Linked DNA regions of Ovis aries. The protein of the gene in region 3 interacts with the protein of the main gene of each other region in a pairwise test. Links are inferred from orthologs where the notes say so. Each region holds a gene or a part of one and is shown on either strand. Other genes may lie near its edges. The genes, in order: HDDC3, TEAD4, CCDC172, DCTN2, FAM13C and SMARCE1.

Evidence for each region.
Region 1: the proteins of CCDC172 (region 3) and HDDC3 interact in binary tests that used the Homo sapiens proteins (3 or more experiments, as listed by UniProt). The two-hybrid records come from large-scale screens. The link is inferred for Ovis aries from reciprocal best matches to the Homo sapiens genes CCDC172 and HDDC3.
Region 2: the proteins of CCDC172 (region 3) and TEAD4 interact in binary tests that used the Homo sapiens proteins (3 or more experiments, as listed by UniProt). The two-hybrid records come from large-scale screens. The link is inferred for Ovis aries from reciprocal best matches to the Homo sapiens genes CCDC172 and TEAD4.
Region 4: the proteins of CCDC172 (region 3) and DCTN2 interact in binary tests that used the Homo sapiens proteins (3 or more experiments, as listed by UniProt). The two-hybrid records come from large-scale screens. The link is inferred for Ovis aries from reciprocal best matches to the Homo sapiens genes CCDC172 and DCTN2.
Region 5: the proteins of CCDC172 (region 3) and FAM13C interact in binary tests that used the Homo sapiens proteins (3 or more experiments, as listed by UniProt). The two-hybrid records come from large-scale screens. The link is inferred for Ovis aries from reciprocal best matches to the Homo sapiens genes CCDC172 and FAM13C.
Region 6: the proteins of CCDC172 (region 3) and SMARCE1 interact in binary tests that used the Homo sapiens proteins (3 or more experiments, as listed by UniProt). The two-hybrid records come from large-scale screens. The link is inferred for Ovis aries from reciprocal best matches to the Homo sapiens genes CCDC172 and SMARCE1.

The regions. Positions count from the first base shown.
Region 1 is NC_056071.1:21,044,047-21,047,660, reverse strand, and holds HDDC3 (guanosine-3',5'-bis(diphosphate) 3'-pyrophosphohydrolase MESH1), read right to left. Parts: upstream 2,115-3,614; 5' UTR 2,092-2,114; coding exon 1,980-2,091; intron 1,659-1,979; coding exon 1,603-1,658; intron 1,496-1,602; coding exon 1,255-1,495; coding exon of another isoform or gene 1,193-1,254; intron 958-1,192; coding exon 827-957; 3' UTR 501-826; downstream 1-500. UniProt on the Homo sapiens protein: ppGpp hydrolyzing enzyme involved in starvation response.
Region 2 is NC_056056.1:212,620,794-212,624,293, reverse strand, and holds part of TEAD4 (transcriptional enhancer factor TEF-3), read left to right. Parts: intron 1-1,446; coding exon 1,447-1,586; intron 1,587-2,822; coding exon 2,823-2,996; intron 2,997-3,500. UniProt on the Homo sapiens protein: Transcription factor which plays a key role in the Hippo signaling pathway, a pathway involved in organ size control and tumor suppression by restricting proliferation and promoting apoptosis.
Region 3 is NC_056075.1:36,318,834-36,322,333, forward strand, and holds part of CCDC172 (coiled-coil domain-containing protein 172), read left to right. Parts: intron 1-1,877; coding exon 1,878-1,979; intron 1,980-2,691; coding exon 2,692-2,794; intron 2,795-3,500.
Region 4 is NC_056056.1:162,110,059-162,114,116, reverse strand, and holds the start of DCTN2 (dynactin subunit 2), read right to left. Parts: upstream 2,801-4,058; 5' UTR 2,662-2,800; coding exon 2,626-2,661; intron 1,752-2,625; coding exon 1,683-1,751; intron 1-1,682. UniProt on the Homo sapiens protein: Part of the dynactin complex that activates the molecular motor dynein for ultra-processive transport along microtubules. In the dynactin soulder domain, binds the ACTR1A filament and acts as a molecular ruler to determine the length.
Region 5 is NC_056078.1:14,231,855-14,235,951, reverse strand, and holds the end of FAM13C (protein FAM13C), read left to right. Parts: intron 1-1,990; coding exon 1,991-2,114; 3' UTR 2,115-3,597; downstream 3,598-4,097.
Region 6 is NC_056064.1:40,602,566-40,606,610, reverse strand, and holds the start of SMARCE1 (SWI/SNF-related matrix-associated actin-dependent regulator of chromatin subfamily E member 1), read left to right. Parts: upstream 1-1,245; 5' UTR 1,246-1,290; intron 1,291-3,492; 5' UTR 3,493-3,537; coding exon 3,538-3,544; intron 3,545-3,720; coding exon 3,721-3,764; intron 3,765-4,045. UniProt on the Homo sapiens protein: Involved in transcriptional activation and repression of select genes by chromatin remodeling (alteration of DNA-nucleosome topology).

The DNA.
Region 1 (3,614 bases), on a different chromosome or scaffold from region 3:
TGGGGCACCCAGAAGTTCTTGTGGCTTAGCAACAAAAGGAATCAGAGATGGGATGGTGGTGAGACAGGGTGGGATGCCCACCGCAGCAGGTTTCCGTGGCAACCTGGGGTATGAGGGACCCTCCCCCCTCACAGGCCCTATCATGTTGCTGCTGAGGACTCTGCTGAGCTCAGCAAGATCTGCCAGTAAGCAGGGTGGCACTTCTTTCCAATACATATGTTAACTTCTTTCCCACTTGACTTCCTCAGTGAGGAAGCCTACCAATTTCTGAGCATCTATGTGTCAGGCATGTCACCTAGCTCAACCCTGATAATTACACAACCTATCCCACTGATAAGGAAACCAAGCTCCAAGGGGTTCAGGCCCTCAACCTGAGGGACCTGTCCCAGAGGGCACACAGTTGGAACCCTGCCCTACTGAAGGGCAGATATCTCCTCCTGACACACACACATCGGTTCCCCACTGGGGAGGCTGGAGGAGGAGCAGCAGCAACTCGAAGCTTTATCCAAATGTTTTATTTTGCATAATGACTTTCAGACCAGCGTTTATAGATAAGCCTAAGTCCCTGAGGGGCCAGAGATCCCACCGTGCAAAACAAGCAAACCCAAGGCCTGAAGCGGGGCAGTGAATGCATTAGGAATGGATGGGGCACATCATCCCACAATCTGGGGCTCAGCTTAGTTGGCAGATCTTCAGACTCAGAAAAGACACGTGAATTTGGTCTCTAATATCTGTGCTGAGTGAACCAGGGAGGGAGCTTGGGAGGCATGGAAAGGCTGAAGTATGCGTCTTCTCTGGCCTGGGCAACAATGGCTCCAAGCACCACTCAGAGTGTCAGCCCCCGCTCCTTAAACAGCTGCCTTAGAGCCTCTTCCAGCTGTCGGTTTGTTCCCTGGAGCCCCTTCACCACCTGTGCCGCCCACTCGAAGTATTCCTGGACTCGGTGTTCAGACCATCCTGCATAAGAGTGGACAGAAAACCGCTCGTGTTGATGTCCAGGAGTGCCCTGGATTTTGCCCAGTTCCTGAGGGGCTTGGCGCAGGGCCATGAGTTCTGATGGATTTGTACTGAAAACTTCCCCTTGGCCCAGCTTCTGTATTTCTACTGTATGAAAGAGCAGAGGGGTCTAGTAAGATTAGTCTAAGGAATCAACAAGAACACTTGGGCTTTTATTCCAGGGGAACTGACCAACCTGTGCCTTCAGAAGATGGCTACCCCTCCTTTTCCCCTCAGAGCAGGTGGGGGATAGCGTACCCTCTGGGGTGCAGCGATTCAGGTCCCTCAGATTGTACAGCTTATCTGCCAGCTTCACCAGTTTAGCTCCGGGGCTGCTCTGGGGTGCCTGCTCCACCTGCAGCCGCTTTCTCTCCAGCTTGGGCAGAGTCTTGTCATCTGTCACCTCCTCCACCAGGCGCCGCACTTGGTCCCCAAAGTGCAGCTCCACCTCATCCAGGGTGGTGTCTGTGTCCTCCACTGTGTCATGGAGCAGGGCTGCCTGCGGACAGGCTCCCACTCAGTCCTGGGACACCTGCCAAGGGGTGCCCGAAGCTGATTGGGGCCCCTGATCCCCAACCCAGCCTCCTAGCAGAGGAGGAAAGTTACCTGTAATACCACAATGTCAGTGATCCCCGCCTCGTGGGTCAGGATCCGAGCCACACCTGACGAGGCAAAGCAGGAAGTCAGGAGGGAGTTCAGGGCCACGTGATGTGGGTTCGCAGAGCCAGAGGTGGCTGCCCCTCACTAGCGGGGTGACCTTGGGCAAGTCCTTTACTCTTTTTTTTTTTTTTTTTTGGATGTCCACTGTACAGAGAACAGCCATGCCGACCGCCCCAGGTCGCTGTGAGTCTTAAACACGAACTGTGCCTGGCACAAAGCTAGATACCGACTAGGTGCCCGAGGAGCTGCACGCCCTCCGCGTTCCCTTCCCGGTCCCCAACCCCTGGAGGCTACAGCCGTGGCTCCCCCGGCGGAGCGCCCACCGATAGGGTGGTTGATGTAGGGGGTCCCTTCGGGGTCCTTCCGCCGCTGCCGTTGGTGCTTGCGGGCCGCGAAGTCAGCAGCCTCCAGCAGCTGGGCCACCTCGGAGCCCATCGCGCAGGTGGGGCGGGTACCTTAGGTCCTAGGCGCCCGGGGAGCGTGGACCCAGCGTCCACAGCGCCCCCTGGCGCCGCGGAGGTCCGGGAGGTGGTGGAGTCTGGTGCGGAAGCGTTCTTCCGGGTCTGATGGGTGGACCTTGGGTGTAGGAAGCTGCTGCCCACAGCTTCGCAGCTGCTAGTTCAGTGTGCTTTGCCGAGGGTGCATGAAGAATATGGCCTGGCTCTCTGGGAGCCCGCAGCCTGGGAGAAGGAGGAAAACAGAAAAGAAGACAGTGGCCTCACTGTGTCCAGAGCAGGAAGGCGCAGAGGACTGTGGTAACTTGGAGGGAGAGCAAATCATGTAGCCTCTGGGCCAGAGAGAACTTCTCTGGGGAGGACCCTCTCCCGTCATGAAAAGACAATTTTCAAGCTGCCAATGCTCTGAACATTCTCAAAGTGCTCTAAAAATAGTTCTCCCTGCAAGAATGGCCTGGTTGCTATGGGCAAAGGAGCCTCACACTAGGGCCCAGAAGATCCCTTGGGTCTGCTGCTGCTGCTGCTAAGTCGCTTCAGTCGTGTCTGACTCTGTGCGACCCCATAGACAGCAGCCCACCAGGCTCCCCCTTCCCTGGGATGCTCCAGGCAAGAACACTGGAGTGGGTTGCCATTTCCTTCTCCAATGCATGAAAGTGAAAAGTGAAAGTGAAGTCCCTCAGTCATGTCCGAGTCTTAGCGACCCCATGGACTGCAGCCTACCAGGCTCCTCCGTCCATGGGATTTTCCAGGCAAGAGTACTGGAGTGGGGTGCCATTGCCTTCTCCGCCCCTGGGGTCTGACCTGGAAATTGGAGCTTACAGTGGGAGCCCTCCGTGATGGTTTCAGAGAGACTCCCAGGCCGTGGTGCTGTTTCCTCCGGAACTGTTTTCTTTGCTCTCAGGTGCCAGGAACAAAACCTGCATGTCTTTCTCGTGCCATGAGGGCTCCTGCTTCAGTCCCCAGGCACTGCTGTGGGGCCCCTGGGCTTCTGAGCGTTGTCACCGTTGTTCTGAGAGCATGACCTTGTTGTCAGGCCTCCATAGACACTACAGCAACACAACACTGTGGGCTGGTGACCTCTGGTCTTTTGGAGAAATCCCCTCTCTCAGCAGACAGTACCTATGAAGTATAAGGTTTGCTGAGACCGGGAGACCCTGGAAGAGCTGTCCCTGTGAAGTGGAGTTGGCTGATTGCTAAGTTTACTCCAGTTGATTAGCAGCTTTTGTACTTTGGCTGGTAGCTGGGGCCGATGAGGACTCAGGGGACAAGTTAACGAGAGCACTTGCTCTTGCTTTTCAGCTGGTCTTGGTGGTTGCCACGATGCAGAAGTTAGAGAGGGAAGCCCCAAACGCTGGAAACAAGGTCTCTGGGGCCTGAAATGGAACAAGCTGAATTCCCATGGCTTCCGTGGCAGCCTGAAAGTTAAGAGTGGGTGGAGAGAAACATATCTGGTTCTAAATGCGTGTCTGTTCTTCAGGCTAGTGGCTCGACTTGGCTCATTCC
Region 2 (3,500 bases), on a different chromosome or scaffold from region 3:
CCTAACTCACCCATCATCTTAAAGCGTCTTTCTCACCACGGTGCTTCCAGCTGAGAATCCATTAGAGGCTCCCTGGTGATTGTCCCTCTCCGTGCACCCGGGCACCATCCCGGGCTGGTGTCTGTCCTCCGTGTGTTGGGCCACGTCCAGTGTGCCCCCACTGGGCAGGACTCGGGAAGCTGCCCTTGGACAAATGAACAAGGGATTCAGCTCACGCATCCAGTGTGTGAGCTGGTGTGTCCAGCGTGGTCCTCTGCCCGCTCCTCTGCCATCTCTTCTCTGTCTCCTCCCCGAGCTCCTGACCTACCTGCCTCGGCTGCCCCCTCGTCCTGTCTCTTACCAAGTCCTGCAGTCTTGCTCCCTCCATGTCCCTCCTGTGTCCCCTCCTCTTCACTGCCCTCTTCTTTTCCCCCCTTGAGAAGAGCCCACGAGGCCCGCGTCTCTGGCCAGCACTGCCCCTGCCCATTCCTTCGTCCACAAGGAACAAGATGTGCAGAAATGCTCAGCCAGTCGCTCCTCGGCCCTGCTTAGAATCCTCTGTCACCCTCCTGAGCTCAGGCTGAAACCTGTACTCCCCACCCAGCAGCCAGGCCCCAACTCTCAAGCCTCATTTCCAGCTCCTGCACAAACCTGCTGGATGGAACCTCCCAGCCCACTGAGCGTCTGGCCGCCCCGTGCCCTCTGCCTGCAGCCCGTTCCCCTGTCTCTGCTGCTGCCTCCTGCTCCTGCCACATCACTTCTTTTTATTTTTTTATTATTAAGTTTATTTTTAATTCGCGGATAATTGCTCAAGATGTTGTGTTAGTTTCTGCTGTACAACAGTGTGAATCGACCATAAGTATACATATATGCCCTGCCACCTGAGCCTCCCTCCCACCCCTGCTGCATAACCTCTTTAAGCATCACCTGCGGAAAGCCTTTCTGACCACTGCCAAGGTGGACCGGGAGCCCCCCTGCAGCGCTCAGTCTGTTTTCATCACGTTCGTTGCTTCACTTAGTCACAAACCTGCATGCCCTTCTGGGCCAGATGCTGTCACAGGGGCTGGGCAGAGACTTGTGTCATTGTAGTCATTTGTCCAGTTATCTTCAGGCTGGACCTGAAGCGCCTCCAGAGCAAGAACCAAGCGGTGCCTGCCCTGGAAGCCCTGGGTCCAGCAGGCATTCCACTCGCCCCCTGCCCCCAGCCACCGCCGTCCCCTTGCCCCCCACAACCTGTCCCCGGTCAGCATCACCTCCCTTGAGAGCCATCCTGTGCCCAGAGGGGACTGAACTGTCAGGACTGAGCCCCCTGCCAGGGCTGCCCCTGGACCGCTGGCCAGTGCTTTGCCCCCACCCCCATGCCTGCTGGGAGGCACACAGCAGGTTCCGATGGGTCTGGGGGTCTGGGGGAGGCTGGTGTGGGGAGGCCGTGTGGGCCGGCTCCCATGTGCCGTCCACCGCGTGCAGGGTTCGAGTCTCCGGCAGGACCTGCCCCGTCGCCCTCTGCGCCCCCCGCACCCCCGTGGCAGGGCCGCAGCGTGGCCAGTTCCAAGCTCTGGATGTTGGAGTTCTCTGCCTTCTTGGAGCGGCAGCAGGACCCCGATACGGTAGGTCCTAGCCGTCGCCAGCTGGATTTTCTCCCGCCCCATCCTCATTCCTGGAGCGTGCTGCTCCCCAGCCTCCTCCAGCTCCAATTTTGCCTGCTCTGGCTTTCTCTCCCTGCCCTCTGCCCTGCTCCACCTTGGGACTGAATTTAGGTTCCTGTTCCTTCTTATCCTCTCCTGGTTCACCTGTCCTCCCCCTGGCTTCTTTCTCACTGGACCTTGCATCTCTCCCTCCCTTAAGCCTCCCCTGGTCTCTGTGCCCCACCCTAGTCCCCAGTCCCTCACGCCCTCCTTCCTCCCATCTAGTCACCTCTCCCTCTGAAGACGCTGGTCCCAGCCCCACCCCAGGCTGCACTGCGCTGTCCCCTGTGGCTCCAAGGAGCCGTCTGTCTGCCGCACATCCTCGGGGGCGCCAGCAGGAGCGGCAGCCCACCCCCACTTTGAGCCCTTCTGTGTCTCCATCCTGGGTGGCCCGCGTCACCTGCAGAGTTCAGAGTAGCACCTGGCCGGGTGGACAGGAGGCCAGAGCCTGGGAATCTTCACTAATCATTTCAGTTTAACACTTTTTTTTTCTTAAACGCTAAGATTTCTCGAGGTCCTTATTTTTTCTCAGTTTATTTTAAATTGGAGGATAATTGCTACACTGTGCTGTGTTGGTTTCTACCATGCAACAACGTGGATCAGCCCGCATGCACACACATATCCCCTCCCCTCCTGAGCTCCCTCCTATACCCCCCACTCCCAGTTTGACATTTAGAAGCTTATTTTTCAGGTGAGGAACTTGTTAGTGAGACAAACCCTTCCTTGGAAGCCCAGCATGTATTGTGAAAGCAGTGGATTTTCTCGGATTGCAGCAAGGGGTTCCCAGCCCCCGCCCCCCACTTCAAACGGGGGAAACACCCCTTTTCTGGTTCAGTGGTCTTCCATCACAGATGAGATTGAGGGGGTCCAAAGATAGAAATGACCCGCCTAAGGATATTCAGTGACTGAGCCACGACTCAGAATAGTGCAAATAGCGACCAACGCATGCCAAGCGCCTGTGGGGGGCCGACCTGCCCCAAGTGCGGGATGCCTGTTTACTCTGCTGTGCACCCAGCCCTTCTTCCTGCTCCGTGTCACCAGGGGGGAGACTGAGGCCCTGCCGTGGCATCCCTGCTCTGGGCCCCTGGCTGGGCTCGGAGCCCCAGGGCTGGTCCGCCCGCCCCGCAGCCCCTCAGACTAGCTCTCCTGTGCCCACAGTACAACAAGCACCTGTTCGTGCACATCGGCCAGTCGAGCCCCAGCTACAGCGACCCCTACCTCGAAGCCGTGGACATCCACCAGATCTACGACAAGTTCCCCGAGAAGAAGGGCGGCCTCAAGGAGCTCTTTGAACGTGGACCCTCCAACGCCTTTTTCCTCGTGAAGTTCTGGGTAAGTCTCTGGTGGCCTCTTCCTTCCTGCCCTAGCTCGGCGATGACCAACTGCCCCGAGGGAAAAGCCTGGCCAGGGAGGCCTGGCTGGCAGGAGGCACTGATGGGAACCCTGCCCTGGTCGGGGGAGACAGCAGCGTGGGGGCCCTTCTCACCAGCACCTGCCTTCCTCCACTCAGAGATAACAGTCTGTGTTCTAGCCATCCTCAGATGAGAGCCACCCTAGACCCCCATCTCACAGATGGGGAAACTGAGGCTTGGAGTCAGCAAGGGCCTGGCTGGGAGACCCCCAGCCCCAGCGAGCCCGGCTCCTGCAGTCCCTCTTGTGACGGGTGTGCTGCGGAAAGTCAGGGCCGTCGGGAGACTTTTATTAGGGTGTTTCTTCTTCACTGGGCTTCCCAGGTGGCACTAGTGGTAAAGAACCCGCCTGCCGAGGCAGGAGACGTAAGAGATGCGGGTTCAGTCCCTGGGTCAGGAAGAGCCCCTGGAGGAGGAAATGGCAACC
Region 3 (3,500 bases):
CAAGATTGTTGTAAGTACTCATGAAATAATATTTAATTACATAGAATGCTACCTGGATAATAATTAAACCCTTAAAATATAAGGATTATACTTTTTAATTAGCTTAATTTCATAGATGAAGGAAATGAGGCTCTCAGAGATAAGTTGCTTTGGGTAGAGAGTGTAGGACAGAGGTTCTTCAGGCATACATATAAGCATACATCTTATAGGCAAACATCTGGGACGTTCATATATATATATATTCATATATATATATATAAATGATCAGGAAGGAGCACAATACAAAAACTAGAACTAGAATAAATGTATTAAAAACTGTTTTTAGATATTAAGGACAAGAAACTGTCCAAGGCTATGATTCCTAAGAGAAGGAAAACACATGAGGCATGATTACCTAAGCTTATACCTGGTTACAGTTTTTTGACAACAGGAGTGAGAGAGGGAACTTAAACAAAACACAGTGGCATGAATGAGTCGAGGATACAAAGACTGGAGTTCAGGGAGGCTGAGTTAGTTGAAATTTTCAGGACAACGTACTGAGAGGAAAGAACTGCACAGACAAAACCTCCAGAAATCTTCATAGAGGTTGCTTTGAGTCTTTGGCTATATATTATTCTTTGCATACATAGGGGAAAGTCCTCTAGACTGAATAAAGAAAAACTGCTGGGGAATCATAAGGTCAACAATTCTGTGAGCTCACACAAGACTGAGAGACATTCATGTTCCATCCTTTAAGAATAGAAAGAGCTCATTAAACAGAAGAATCCTGCCTTAATAGTAGGATTCAATTAGCCTTCGACCTAAGGCTACTCTGGATACACTCTAAATCTTAAAAGCACGGTTTGAACCTAATTATGTTACCTAACTGCATGCTAAATAAGCAGGTATCAACATGCTTGAGGGGAAGAGAGCAAAATTCAAACATCAACAAAATAGTAAACAAAATGTCTGGTATCCAACCAAAAATCACTGTATCTGTGAAAAAGAAATTGTATCTCATACCAAAAAGGAAATTAGGTCAATAGAAACATCTCCAGAAATCACAGAGATAATGAAATTCACAGAGAAAGACTTTTAAAATTGATATTATAAAAATATTCAGGACCATGAGTATAATAGAGATAAATAAAAGATATAAAATAGTAAAAAATTCAGAAAATCATTTGGCAAGATCCAACACCCTTTCATGATAAACACAGTCAATAACGTAGACATAAAAGGGACCATTCTCAACCTGATGAAGAGTATCTTTGAAAAACCATGGTGAATCTTATTTATGATGAAGGAATGAGAATTTCTCATCTAAAATCGGGAAAAGATGAAGATATTCATCCACTCCTAGTATTTGTATCCAGCATTTTACTAGAGATTTTAGCCTGGGCAATCAGGCAAGAAAAAGAAATACGAGACATCTAGATTGAAAATGAAGTAGTAAAACTATCTCTATTTGAACATAGCATGATCTTGTGTATGGAAATCCTAAGGAATCCATAGGAGAACTATTTGAGCTAATAAACAAGTTCAGGGAAGGTGGCAGGTTATTAGATCAATATATACAAGCCAAATGGACAATTTGAAAATTAACATTCAGTTTGCAATCAAAAAAGAGTAAAACACATTTAACAAAAGTTTAAGACTTGTATACAAAAACCACAAAAAACATTGTTGAAAGAAGTTAAAGGAGACCTAAATAAATGGAAAGTCATCTCAAGCTGATGGATTGAAATATCGAATATTGTTAAGCAGTACTCCCAAAAGTATATTGACCCTACATTGCTTACATTTTTACTACACAAGAAAGAGTTAATCATTCTTGACAGACATAAGGCAAAGCCAAAAATAGTTAAAATGTGTTTTTTTTGCATATTTATTTCTAGAAATGAAGTCAATGGAACATGATAGTGACCTGTTAAATGAACTTCAGAGACAAAAGAGTGAATTAATACAAGAATTATTTACTTTGCAGAGAAAGCTTAAAGGTATTACATATATGAGTCTTTGCTGATGAATATAGTTATATATCTATCATTTGTTGTTCAGTTGCTAAGTTGTTGTGTCCGACTCTTTGTGACTCCATGGACTGTGGCACACTAGGCCCTCCTACCCTTCACCATCTCCTGGAGTCCGCTCAATTCATGTTCTTTGAGCCAGTGATGCTATCTATCTATCTCATCCTCTGCTGCCCCCTTCTGCTTTTGCCTTCAGTCTTTCCTAGCATCAAGGTCTTTTCCAGTGAGTCAGTTCATATCAGGTGGCCAAAGTATTAAAGTTTCATCTTCAGCATCAGTCATTCCAGTGAATATTCAGGGTTGATTTCATTTAGGATTGACTGGTTTGATCTTGCAGTCCAAGGGGCTCACAAGAGTCTTCTCTATTATAGGTTAATATTATTCTTTCAAAATGTATTTACTCATTGAGATATAGGTGATGTAAAAAGGGGATTTTTTTTGATGTGAAAAAGGAATAGGTAAAGCACTAAATTGATGTGTTGAATCTGGTATTTTTAATTTCATAAATTTTAAGATCTTTTTTTGTGCCTTTAAATGCTACATTAAAGTAGAAAAATAAAAATCATTAGTACATGTATTTTACACAAAACACCGAAATTTAGAGCATTGTTCTTATGAATGAAGAAAGATAACCTTTATATTTAATTTTTTAAAGAGTATAAGAATTGTCTTAATTGTTTAGGTTTTGAAGATAAAAAAAATGGAGCCATTTGTACTACTAAATATCTAGAGGCAGAAAAAATAAAAATCAATGAAAAACCTCAAAATGATGCTGAATGCTTAAGGTAAGAATTGCCTATTATACTTTGATATAAATCTGGTAATTTTTAAAGTTGTCAAGTAGATTTCAACATAAAGCCAAATGCATAATTATTTCAAGATCATTCTGAAATATGTTAATAAGCAAATGCGTTACTGGTTAAAAACACATAAGTTTTAAATTGTATCAGGTTGATAATACTGAAATCAGTCTTATCGTTTCCTATTCCTCAAGAACTCTTGAGTTATTCACATCCTAAAAGATAAAATGTAGAATCATTTCCACAACTCTTTTTTCTATTATCCCTAAGTTTTTGGAGTGAAATGACTGAAATTATCTTTTTTGGTCCTTCTAGATTTCAGGGGGAAAAAAATTACAGTCTACTTTACTTAAAATCTGTGCTTCTGGTTTTGTACCTAAAGATTTGAAAATATATTTTCTTTATGGAATATTTAGATGTTTTCTGTGTATTTAGATAATGAAAGAATGGCTGAGGTCTGAAATGACATAGTTATATACCAAAGGAGTACATCTCCCCCAGTTTATTAATTTCATTGTTATTTCTTAATAATTCAGTGTTAACATTTGCTGGCTTAATTTTAAAGAGCTTCCTATACTTTCTAGGTTTCATGTAAGAAACAGAAACCTCATTACTGAATCTATGAAGAGGCAAATGAAGCCTTCTTTCACATAAATCATATAGGAAATATGTCCACTAGAGCTGAACAAAT
Region 4 (4,058 bases), on a different chromosome or scaffold from region 3:
TATACTGGTATTCTGGCTACATGCTGCAGGAAATGAACATCAGCCCATCAGACACCCCGCTAGATGCTACTAAAATAGGCTGCTCAGGTTCAGCAGGGAGAAACAGCCAATCAGCGCAGAAGAGTCAGGTTCTTCCATGCCTGGGATGAAGGTCATGCTCTTCTTATTAAGAGACAGCCCATGATTTCGAATGGAAAATTACAATTTATTTTTTGGTTTGGAAACGGGACTGCTATATTACCTGTTTGATCATGGTCAGTGACAAAGGGATAAACTTCCATTCATTATTTCACCATGAAGGCTTGATATTTTATAGATAGAGCCCTAGGCTAGAGCTGAACAGTCTCTGAACTATGGTAGCAGAATGGAGTCCTCAGTATATATATATATACTTCTGCCCTTTGAGTCATAAATAGCTTCTTAATAAGATACCTCTTAGAGTGAAGGTGCAAACCTAGGTCCTGAGCAATGACACCACCTGCATTATTTCCAGATACTCAAGTTTGGGGGACAGACTGACATGCCAGCAAGTACAGAAGCAACAAGAACACACCACTCAGAGAGGGGACAAGGAAGGTGTTCCCCACAAAGAAGGAACCACTTCCACATGGGGGAATCAAATAAGGAATAAGTGAGTACGCCAAGCCATACATTATAAGCCAGCAACCAGCATTCTCCAGAACTAACCAGCCCCACAAACGTAGCCACAGGACTCACAGACACACATACAGAGCCTGTTTCCACTGACTCTTAGTCACAACTTTTTTGAGATCTCATACCATCAATGTGACCCTAGCCCAGCTCTCCTTGCAAATTATAGAACCTAAAATACATCCTATAAGACATGTGAACAGATCTTTGCTCCCCTTGGCACTTACACTCAGGGTTTCCACTATGTTCACTTCATTCACTCAGTTTTTTCTTTCATATTTCCTATATGTATCCTAACTCTCTCATTAGTCTGGGGGATTTTTGAGGGAAGGGACATTTTTCCCTCTGTACTGAACAAAAATCAACACAAAATGAACACATTCAATAAACAATGCTAAGTGGTTTCCCTTATGGTTAAAATGTGTCCATAGCTAATTCTTTCCTCTTGAGTTCTTCCTGAATCTGAAAGTGCTATCAAGTCCTCTCCTCTGCTGATATGAAATATTTATGTTCTTCTTCAAATTCCTTCTGCTCTGACTAGTTCTCTTATCTTTCTGAAGTCTCCAATTCATTTTCCTTGCCTAGTGGATTCTGGATACTCACGTAAAATCACGTATAGTATTCCTCTATACTTCAAAGTCTAGCTTGTTAGGATGTTAATGAACATTGAATGAGAGATATATTTTATGAAATAGAAGGTCTAGGTCTTAAACTCATGCACTTTTTAAATGCGCAGGCTTCATGACGCATTACCACGGACTAGCACTACCAGGCCTAAGTCACTAGCACCCAGCCTGTTTTGAAATATTTCAATTTTATTTAAAAGGCCTAAGTATCAGGCCTCTTAGTTTTAATTCCACTGACCTGACTCTCCTTCCTGGCATTGCTCATTTGCAAGTCCTGCAACCTACATACCACCCAGGCTGGGTTGGCATACCCGCTTATTGCTGTGGCTCGCCAGCAAAGGGAAAGGGCCTGCCTGGGAGAGAGATCAGAATCCACAGGAGTCCTGAGGCGACACATAGTCTTACCGCATCAAACTCTGCTTGATCATCCTCAGGCAGGTCGCTGGTTTCATAAACATCTGGCTCGTTCCTGGCCTGCAGGTAGAAGCAGTGACCATCCAACCTCACTACCCAGCAACACCCCTGACCCCACTCCATTTGAACAAGTTAACAGAGAAGTCAGGCTGTGATGCCAGGATTCCGCCCCTTCTTTCACCTGCCGGGTGAACTGCCTGTCATTTCCCATGTCTTAACAGGGGTGGGGATAACAGTGGAGATGACTGATGGTAAATGGTGAGTGTTAAGTGATGACAAAGATGTTGCCCTGAATCTGAAGAATGACGGGTCCTGGGCAATCAGAAGTAGGAGAGGAGCCATCATTAGGCCCTGCACACACTACCCTGGCACAAGGGCTGAGAGTGACTCAGGACCTTAGTACACAAGGTCCTATTCCAACCCCCCACCCCGTGAATGCAAGTAAGGCAACACAAAGGGAGGTACATGCCGGCATGTGCCGGGCTTGGGAAGGAGGTTCCCTAGATGACAAGAGTTCTCTATCTGGGGTTCTGTCACGGTAACCTCCTCACTCTTTGCAGAGTGAAGGCCATCACCAAATGGCTTGGTCTGTGTGTCTGAGGTGGGGGTGAGGGTCTTATGGGAATATCTGGGAGACACGGGAGGTGTAGACACGGATGGTAATAAGCACTAGAGGACAGTGCTAAGTGCCTAGAGACCATTTCTGGGCCGAGAAACCGGCGACTGCCGGAAAGGGGCCTTGTAGGCCTTCGCATAGCCCAGCCCAGTCGGGTCGGAGTCCGAAGGGTGCTGGGGCCGGTCAGGGAGCTAGCGGCAGGAGCCCTCGGGGCTGAAGAGGGGTGCAGGCGGGAAAGGTCACGGGTTGGTGTCTGTTAGGGGTCTTTAGGAGGTTGGGGGCGCGGTCTTGGGGAGCCAGGGCCGGCCGTGTACTCACAATGCCGGGAAGGTCGGCGTACTTAGGGTCCGCCATGGCGGCGGCGAGGCAGGGTTGGGGGACCGGGGCCTCGGCAGAGCCGGGGCCGGTGCTCGGGTGGGGGAGAGGATGGGTCCCGGTCCGGCTTAAGGCGGCCGCAAAGGGAGCGGCGGAGGAGGCGGAGGAGCAGGAAGTCTCGCGACAGGAGTAGTACAGAGGAAGGGTGAAGCAAAAGTCGCGAGAACAGCCCGCTACCACACCCCTGGAGAGGCAGGGATTGGCGAGAACGAGGCCGGGAATGAGGTAATGGCAGGAAACCGCCGCCTAGGATTGTGGGATATGCAGTCTTGGCCCACCCAGCTTGGGTGGGGACCGACGTTAACGCGCTTTGGGAGCTGTGTCACATAACTTATTTTCTTTCGTCTTTATAGCGAGTCTGTGAAAGAGCTTTTACAATTCCTGTTTTTCGGTGGATAAATTTGTTGTTCAGCCGCTAACTCTGTCTGCTGCTAAGTCGCTTCAGTCGTATCCGACTCTGTGCGACCCCACAGACGGCAGGCCACCAGGCTCCTCTGTCCCTGGGATTCTCCAGGCAAGAACACTGGAGTGGGTTGCCATTTCCTTCTCCAACGCATGAAAGTGAAAAGTGAAAGTGAGTCGCTCAGTCATGTCCGACTCTTAGCGACCTCACGGACTGCATCCTACCAGGCTACTCCATCCATGGGATTTTCCAGGCAAGAGTACTGGAGTGTGTTGCCATTGCCTTCTCCCAACTCCTGTCTAGCTCTTTGCAACCCCATGGACCGTAACCCGTCAGGCTCCTCTATCCTCCACTATCTCCCACAGTTTGCTCACATTCATATCTATTGAGTCAGTGATGCTCTCTAACCGCTAGCCATGTCAAGCTCCCAGAAATTAAATGACTGGGTAAAAACAACACAACTAGGTTTGCTAAGGCACAGCCAGGGCTTTGAAACAACAATAAGTAACTTTAATAGAGATTTAATCGTGTTGGGAATGAGAAAGTTAACTAACCAGGTTAGGGCTGTCAGATAAAATACAGAGCTCTTAGTTAAATTTGAATTTCACATAAACAACTAATAGTCTTTATAGTATAAGTATGTCCCATAGGATATGTAGGACATATACATAAAATAGACACATTTTACTATTTTATCTGAAATTCAAATTTAACCAGGCATCCTGTTTTTGAATCTGGCAATTCTATCACAAGTTAATAAACACTTGGTAGCACCCTCTGTGCTCTTAATCCCTTCACTAATGGTTTTCAGACTTTTGAATTTCACAGTTTAGTACAATTAAAACAATATCAAACCTTTCTGAGGATAGGCATAGTATTGCTACTTTTTTATTTTGCCAAGCAAGTATTTGCCAAATCTATTCTCTATTACCATCATTACTTAGTAGAAAAGTACAGAAGGACATACAGTACT
Region 5 (4,097 bases), on a different chromosome or scaffold from region 3:
ATGAGAAATGTTATGTGGTTGTTAAATTCAGAATATAAAACAATTTGTTTTCTTTTTTCCTTTACAAAATTTCTATACAACTTTTACATTTTTTAACCTATCCAAACACAGGCAATTTAAAGAGTTTGAGAACCTTCTGGTGTGTTATTAGTCCTGCCAAATGGGTCTGCAGTGGTACTTGGCATGCCTCTGACATCCAGGGAAGTTAGTCATGTTCTATGTATAGTATTTTAAATGCACCAGTGAGTGGGAAACCCACTTCAGATATGCTTACTACTTGGTTGAGGTTATCTGCCCTCTTGTGGTAATACACTTAAACTAAAGGCAGAAGCGGTGCCATATTACAAGTAAAATCAAATAGTCGAATGGCTACGAAATACAGATCTTGTTTTTCTAAAACATTTCATTGGGAAGGGTTACCTGTCCATAGGTAAAATAACCATGCAAATAGATAATTAAAAAATTTAATGTTCTATGAATGTTCTTGGTAAGAGTCATCATGCAAGAAGCATAGTTATCTAGGTATGACCTTAACAATTATGAGCCAGGACCTGTGCTAAATGCTTATGTATGTTTTATATAATGAGAAAAGTGGTTAAGGAAATACTTAGTACAATGCATTCTTGTTTATTAGATAAAGAGGAGTGTGCCGGACCAGAGATAATTGCATCATGAACTATTAGTGTTTCCCTATAAATTAGACTATTTCTTCACTTAGGTATGTTTACACAAATTAAGGTGGCATTTAGATACCCAGTTGGGATAAGTTTGGCCCAGAATACAGAATGGAGTCAAAGGAATTATGTTAGTCTAAAAGGAACTCTGGCTGTAGATTTGTATACTGTTCTGAGTTCTGAACTAGAGATTTCAGGGAAGACTCTTTATAGATTCCCAAAGAATATCGTTATCTACTGGTGTTGTTAACACTATATATACTGCCCTGAAATTTCTAGTTCAGAACTCAGAACAGTATTCAAATCTATGTGTACTGTTAGCTGTTCTTTTATTGGTAAGAAATATAACTTTATCAGTACTGGTAAAATAGAAGGGGTATAGGCTGTTTGCTTTTTACCCATTTTCAGCTATACTTATGTTACAGAGTTTATGTTATCTGTGTTTATATTCAATAGCAGTGGTGGTGACTTCATCTGGGTTTTCCAGTCCTTGTATTTCAAAGTCATGGGTGGAAATATTTTAAAAGCAATTGGCCATCTTTATTAACTAAGGAGATCCTGAACTAACTCTTGTCCTTTAGAAAACATATCCTGGCAATGTAAATTTCTGGGAAGGCAGATGATTTTAACTCCAGATGTTACCCAATTATCCTTCAAAGTAAATGTCAAGAACATCTGGCAGTTAGGAGGCATATGTATCAAACTGGGCATGATCCGTAGTCTAGTCTTAGTAGGATCAGTGTGCAAAGAACCACTACAATTTAGACTCAGATTTCTGAAAGGAACTTCTCTGTGACTCTTCTATACATTAACAGAGATAGGACTATAATTACAAGAAAGTTTAGAAATAATTCATGTTTGTAAGGTAGCTACTGAACTTTTCCCTCCTATTACCATAGATTTATAAGTTATTTCTGTTAATGTAATTTTCGTAGTATTTTTAGGTTGATATTTTAAACAACTATCACTATAAGGGCTGAATATTCTGCACAGGCTTGGATGATGGAAGAAAGACTAGGTAAAAAAATATCTTGAGGGTTCTGGTTTTTATTTCCCGCAGACCTTTCCTCTTCCCCAGTGTTATATGTCTATGCACTGGACAATGTTTTGCAAAACACTTATAATATTTAACTTCTCAGAGCACTATTACATTGAAACCTAGTAACACATGGAAGAGGGAGAGGAAAAAAGACTTGATGAAAAAATCTAGCGGAAATTGTTACCCTGTACTTTTCTCACAAGAGTTAAAAAAGGATTTTTAATGACTTGGTTCATTAATGATCTAATGCATTTATATATATATATATTTTTTGCAGAAGTCCACAAAAGGAAGATCGGATACCAATGGCAGATGAGTACTATGAATACAAGCATATAAAAGCCAAACTGAGACTATTAGAGGTCCTCATCAGCAAGCAAGATGTGGCCAAAACTATTTGAGGTTCAGGAAATGTTTGTGATCACTTTCACCTGTGATAAGGCAAGTTTATTTTCCTCTGCCGTTCTTGCTAAGTAGTATGACAACTGAAAACTGAAGCACTTTAGTGGGAGTATTAGCTGTTGTTAAGAATGGATGGCAAGTGTAATTATACATGAATAGAAGGGATTAAAATGGGAGAAAATACAGTAAGTAACATATAATTGGAAAATAAAATTCAGCCTTCTCCATGCCAAGGAGAAAATGCAGTCAGTATAATTACTTCAGAAAACATGTATTGTATCAAACCTAAGTAATAAAAAGTGTCCACCTGTTAAATGGACCACTGGTTAGAGAAAGTCTACTTAATGTCCAAAGACTGCTTATACTGACATACGGAAAGAGCATGATTTTTAACCCAATAAGAACAACAAAAGAAACTCATTTTACATAGAAAGGGATACAGTCATTAAGAATGTAATTTATTTGAAACTTCTAATAGATTTTTAAGTGATAAAAAATCTACTACCTTGTCCCTTAAGTCTGCTAGGCTTTCAGCACCCTAAAATATACTAGAATGTGTCACTGCTAATTTTTTATTTCTATATAAAAATAGCACATTATTTTATCTGTTCCTTAAAATTTTACATTTCTGATTACCAAAGTTCATTCTGATAGCATGTACTTTGTGAATTATCTTTGTTTATAATTGACAGATGTTTATATTAAAATAAAATATTGTATTAAAATTTGAAAATAGGTATTTTGGATAGATGTGTCTGTAGCATATAATCTAATGTGATCATAGTTATAATAGCTAATCTTTTTGTTTACTATAAGATATATAAACTATTTTTCCATTGGGAATATGTGTTTTTCTTAATGTTCCAAGGTCTATACTTTGTAAAGTCAAAAAAATTTCCCATGAACTATAGTTGTTACTCATTCTGTATAAAATGAAAGGTTTAGTACCTGTTTGCTGTAACACCTTGGAAAAGAAGCCAGGATACTTTATTTGCATCATTAACTTCAGTGTATATTGTTTTGTTATTTTGTATTAAACCACGTTTATTATTTTGCTTTTGTAAAAATAAGTAAAAGGTCCACATTTTCTCTCTCATACCAGCCACGTTTGTAGTTCTCTTTTCTGTAATGTTTAAGCACAATGGTGAACAAATTCACATTTTCATATAGTTTGGTTGGGATTGACTATTTCTGAAGCAGATGGTTTCAGAGGCTTACTGTTTTCTCTATAGTTACCTATATTTACCTGATATTTTATAACCTTTATGAATCAGAATAATGTCCTTCACAAATTTGTTTAATTAAAGTTATGTACTTGTAACAGGACAGATACACAACTATTTGAGGTTTACAAACTACATCTTTGATAAGGGAAATGGTTTCGTGACATGTATACAATTGCTATTAAGATGTAACTCTATATATTCTATAAGATTGTAAATATTTTATACAACAATACAAATAAAATATTTTTCTATTATATTTATTATGTTGAAACACAGTAGTTGTTTCCTGTTAGCTAATATAAATAACATAAATAACACTGTCAAACAACAAGTTGGAAGTGCTGACAATTCTAGGCTTCAAGATTTAACTCATGCTGCAATTACACTTTTTCATGCGGTTTGGAGTTATCCCAATATTTGTTCAGTAGATTAAAATGAGAGCATATTTAAACACCATTTATAAGCCATTATTTTGTATTTTACTAAAGCAGTTTATATAATAGTTTGGTTATGTTTGGCATAGAGGAAAAATAAAAACATTGCAGCATCTAGGCAAGAGGGTGTCAGAAACAACTCAGGACAGTTCATCTCTCAAAGTCGTGGGAAGGGTAGGGACTGGGAAACACTACAACAGCTCGGAAATCTGAAAAGTGATGGTTCGCTTTCGGTGACAGTGGCATGGGCATGCTTCAGTGGAAAACATCTGGGTGATGAAAATGGACAACAGAGGATCAGGGCTCCTACGGGAAGAAAGGG
Region 6 (4,045 bases), on a different chromosome or scaffold from region 3:
CCCTCTCTGCAGTGGCGCACGTCGGTCAAGTGTTTATGTATCCAAGGAGAGGCTGCTATCTAGTACATCAACGTGGTCATGATTTAGTGAAAAGAGTCCTGGACTAGACCATAGCCTGCCTCAATATAGATTTACTGAGCTTCTTACAATGGTTCAAGGCCTTACTGGGCACTGGCTATAGGAAGATGACCAATGCAGACCGCTGAATTTTTGCTTTCAAGGCTCTCATAGAGTACTGAGAATAACAAACACAGTCTGATACAATGTATTAGGTAAAGGCCATAATTGTTAATTTGGGAGGAGGAGGGGCGCGTGAGGCAGGGAGTTCCCGGAGGGCATCAGGGACAGAATTTGAGCTGGATCCGGAAGGACAGATGAGTTTAAACCCAAAAGTGAAGGACTGTCGTTCCTGGCAGAGGAAACCGAATGAGCCAAGGCGCTTTAGGACACAGACCCCTTGCCCAGCGCTGCAGGGACACACAACCGGGGGCAAGGAGATTTACATCTCCGGGCCTTGGCTCAGAAACCTGTGACAATTACACCAGCCTTGCGCTTGGGAACAGCTGGGAAGATCTGCGCTGCTTTCGCCAAAGCTCTTGCCCGCGGTTAAGGCAGGAAGCCCTGGGAGGCGCGCAGGAGGACGGAAACTGTAAACCCGGCTCTCCACGCCTCCATCCTCGGCTTGGTGAAGTATATACACTCCAGCTCCCAGAGAAAGAGTCAAGAAAAAGACCGGAAGGGAAAAAAAACCCAGAAACTCTCGGGGGCAGGGACGGGGGGCGTGCGCGGCCTGAGCCCGGCCGGGGTGGTGCGCGGGCCGCGCGGCCACAGAGGTTCCGGGGCTGGCGACCGGGCGCGCTCCCCGCCGCCTTCCGGCCCCGCGCGGGGAAGCTGAGGCCGCGCTCGCGCCCCCCCTCGGCTCAGCCTCGCGCCTCCCGCCGCGCCTCCCGTCCCCGCTCCGGCTCGCTGGGGGCCGCGCGGCCGGGCCTACCCGCGGCCGGGCCACCTCCTCCCTCTCCGGAGTGACGAATCGGCGCCCGGCTGGCAAAGTACTGACTTTCGGGGAGTTTTGAGGAGCGTATGGAGCCTGAAAAAAATCCTTGACTGTGCTAAACACCACCGCGTCCCCACGAGAACGCTTATTTTCCTGAAGAGAGTCGGGTGGGGCCTGGAAAGGAATTAAGAAGAGTGTTGAAAGTGCGAGCGCGGAAGCTCGGGACGCGAGGGGCGGGGCGTGCGCGGGACAAAGGGAAGCGAGGCCGGAGCTGCGGGCGCTTCTTCTGCCCGCGGGTGAGTGTTTCCGACTGGGCCCGGCTGGGTCGGGAGGGTGGAGAGGCGTGGGGTCCCGGCTTGGCTGGGGTTGCTGAGGGTTGCTGGGGTTCAGGCTTGGCCGCGGGACCAGGGCCGGGGGCCGGCTGCGGCCTCTTTGAGGCCTAGCGGAGCGAGGGTGGGGAGAGAGTCCCATCTGGGGCTCCTCTTGGGCGGCCAGAAGTGCCCCTTCCACTAACCCCACGGAAGTGGTCAAGGCGCTTCTGCATGCTCCTCTTCAGTAGAGTAGCTGGTAAAGTGCACCTACACATCAAACCAAACCGAATCGGTCTCAGAGGAAGCCCTTGGGGCAAGCTAAGCCCGTGGTCCTCACCCCCAGGAAGATGGTTTCCCCTTGCCCAGGCAGCGATCTGAGGACTCACGGTGTGGCTTGGAGTGAAAAGCGAAAGCTGGGCAACAGTTTGGCCTGGGTTTGAAACCCAGCTCTGACACTTCCTGACTCTGTGTCTTGAGCCAAGTTACTTATACTGAACGAGACTCCTTTTTTCCCTCTGTAAAATGGCAATAGCAGTACACACCTCGTTGGTAGTGTGACTGTTAAACCAGATGGTGTGAAAGTAGTAAGCCTGTCCCGTATAAGGTATTCAACAAATAACTTCTCCAGGATTTTATGCCAGGCACCGGAGATGCATACAGTGGTGGACAATTGTACGAGATCACTCTTGAAATTTATGGTATAGCAAAAGAGACCAGTAATTTTAGAGTGTTAATAAAATGTGACACACCTGGGAGCTTGTGGCAGATATTATCAGGGCCCCCCACAGCAAGGCCTACTGGATGTTGACAGCCCACCCAAGCTTGAGCAGGAAGGAAATCTGCATTAGACTCTGGTGTCCTGCATGTACCTTAAGGAGAGAGGGAGACCCAGGTTGGGCCATTGAGAAAATAAATGATTTCTTTCTTTCCACACCAGGCCTCTTACTCATAATGCTCCAGAAATGCCCTTAAAATACAAAACAGGAGCAAAAAAAAAATCATGTTTGTTTCTCATAATGTCGGATGAAAATACTCTAGTAGTCATAGAAGTTATTTGCCTTTTTTGTGAAAATGAATGTTCATCTCTTTGTACACATGGTGTGTAATGTATAGTGAGGTAAGGAACAAGTTCACGTGTGTGTGGTCATGTCCTGAGCTAGTGTTACTAGGACTGAAGTTGGTAAAAATTGAGCTAGGTACTGGGACAGCAATAATGAACTAGCTGGTCCCTGTCTCCATTCAGCCCCCATATTAGCAGGTGTAATATGATATTGATCTGTGTAAATTGGAGTACAAATGAGGAAACATTTAATTTTGTACAGATAGGTCCAGAAGTCTCCATTGAGGAGATATATTTTGAGTTGAGCTAAGAAAGATCAATAAGAGTTTTTTCCAGTAGACTCTCGAAATTTATTCCCAGCGGTTATGAAGCTGTTTACCATCATGTTGTTTTTTAGTGGCTCAGTTGTGTCTGACTCTTGCGACCCCATGGACTATAGGGTACCAGGCTCCTCTCTCCATGGGATTCCCCAAGGGAGAATACTGGAGTGGGTTCCCATTTCCTTCTCCAGGAGATCTTCCCAACCCCGGGATTGAACTCAAGTCTTCTGCGTTGGCAGGCGGGTTCTTTTACCGCTGAGCCACCAGGGAAGCTCCATTACTCCTATAAGAGAATGTGAAGTTTCTTGTCACACCAGTTACCTTTTCCACTGCCTTCAGGAGTAAAATGCTGTTTTACTAGAAAGAAGTTGTTATCCTAAAAGGAAGGCAGAGCTGTGGCTGGTCATGGAGCTGTCAGTGTCTGGTAGGCCTTGTTGAGGTAGGCCCCAATAATACATCATATTCTTTTGTCATTGTATTTTTACCGATTTGATTAAATGTTTACATGGCATCAGCGAAACGTTTTCCATACAAGAGGTGGCTCAGTATCAAAAAAAAACAAAAACTTGCAAGTACATGTCTAATTTTACTTTTTAATATCCCCTGTCATTTGTTTTAGTCATTTAATTCTGATCAACTGAGTGACCTAAAGAACTAGTAAAATATTTAAAAGGCTTGATTACTAGAAGATAATGTAATTTTACAAAGAAATATCAAACTACCCTATTCTTTAGAAAAACATTCTCTTATGCTTGCTGAGTTTTGATTATCTTTATTTTTCTTTTTTTTTCCTTTTTTTTATTTTAGTGTCTCAGATTCATTCTTAAGGAACTGAGAACTTAATCTTCCAAAATGTCAAGTAAGTTTCATTTTTTATATTTATCAATCTATATTAATAAGAGACTAATGCCCTAGCAAATGGGAATTCCAAAATACTCTCATTTTTTTTTCTTCAAAACAGGACCATTGGTAGTTTTGTTGCATAGTATTATATCTCAGTTGTTTACAAGAAGTTATTTATTTTCTTTCAAACAGAAAGACCATCTTATGCCCCACCTCCCACCCCAGCTCCTGCAACAGTAAGTTTTAATTTTCTTGTTAATGTAATAGCCAAGTCTGGCCTTGATACAAAAACCCAGATGTCTTCCAGTGACAGTCACTCAATCATTACAGCAACAGGATGAAAAATTCAGCTAAAAAACAGCACTTCCTACTAAATAAAATAACTCTGCATCTTACCTTGAACCAACCCCAACATTTAAAGAAACATACTACTGAAATGCCAACCTCCTATGCTCAGTTCTTTTTTTAATTAGAAATAAGTGGCAAGTTTAACACTTTTCTTGTTCATCTCTATTAA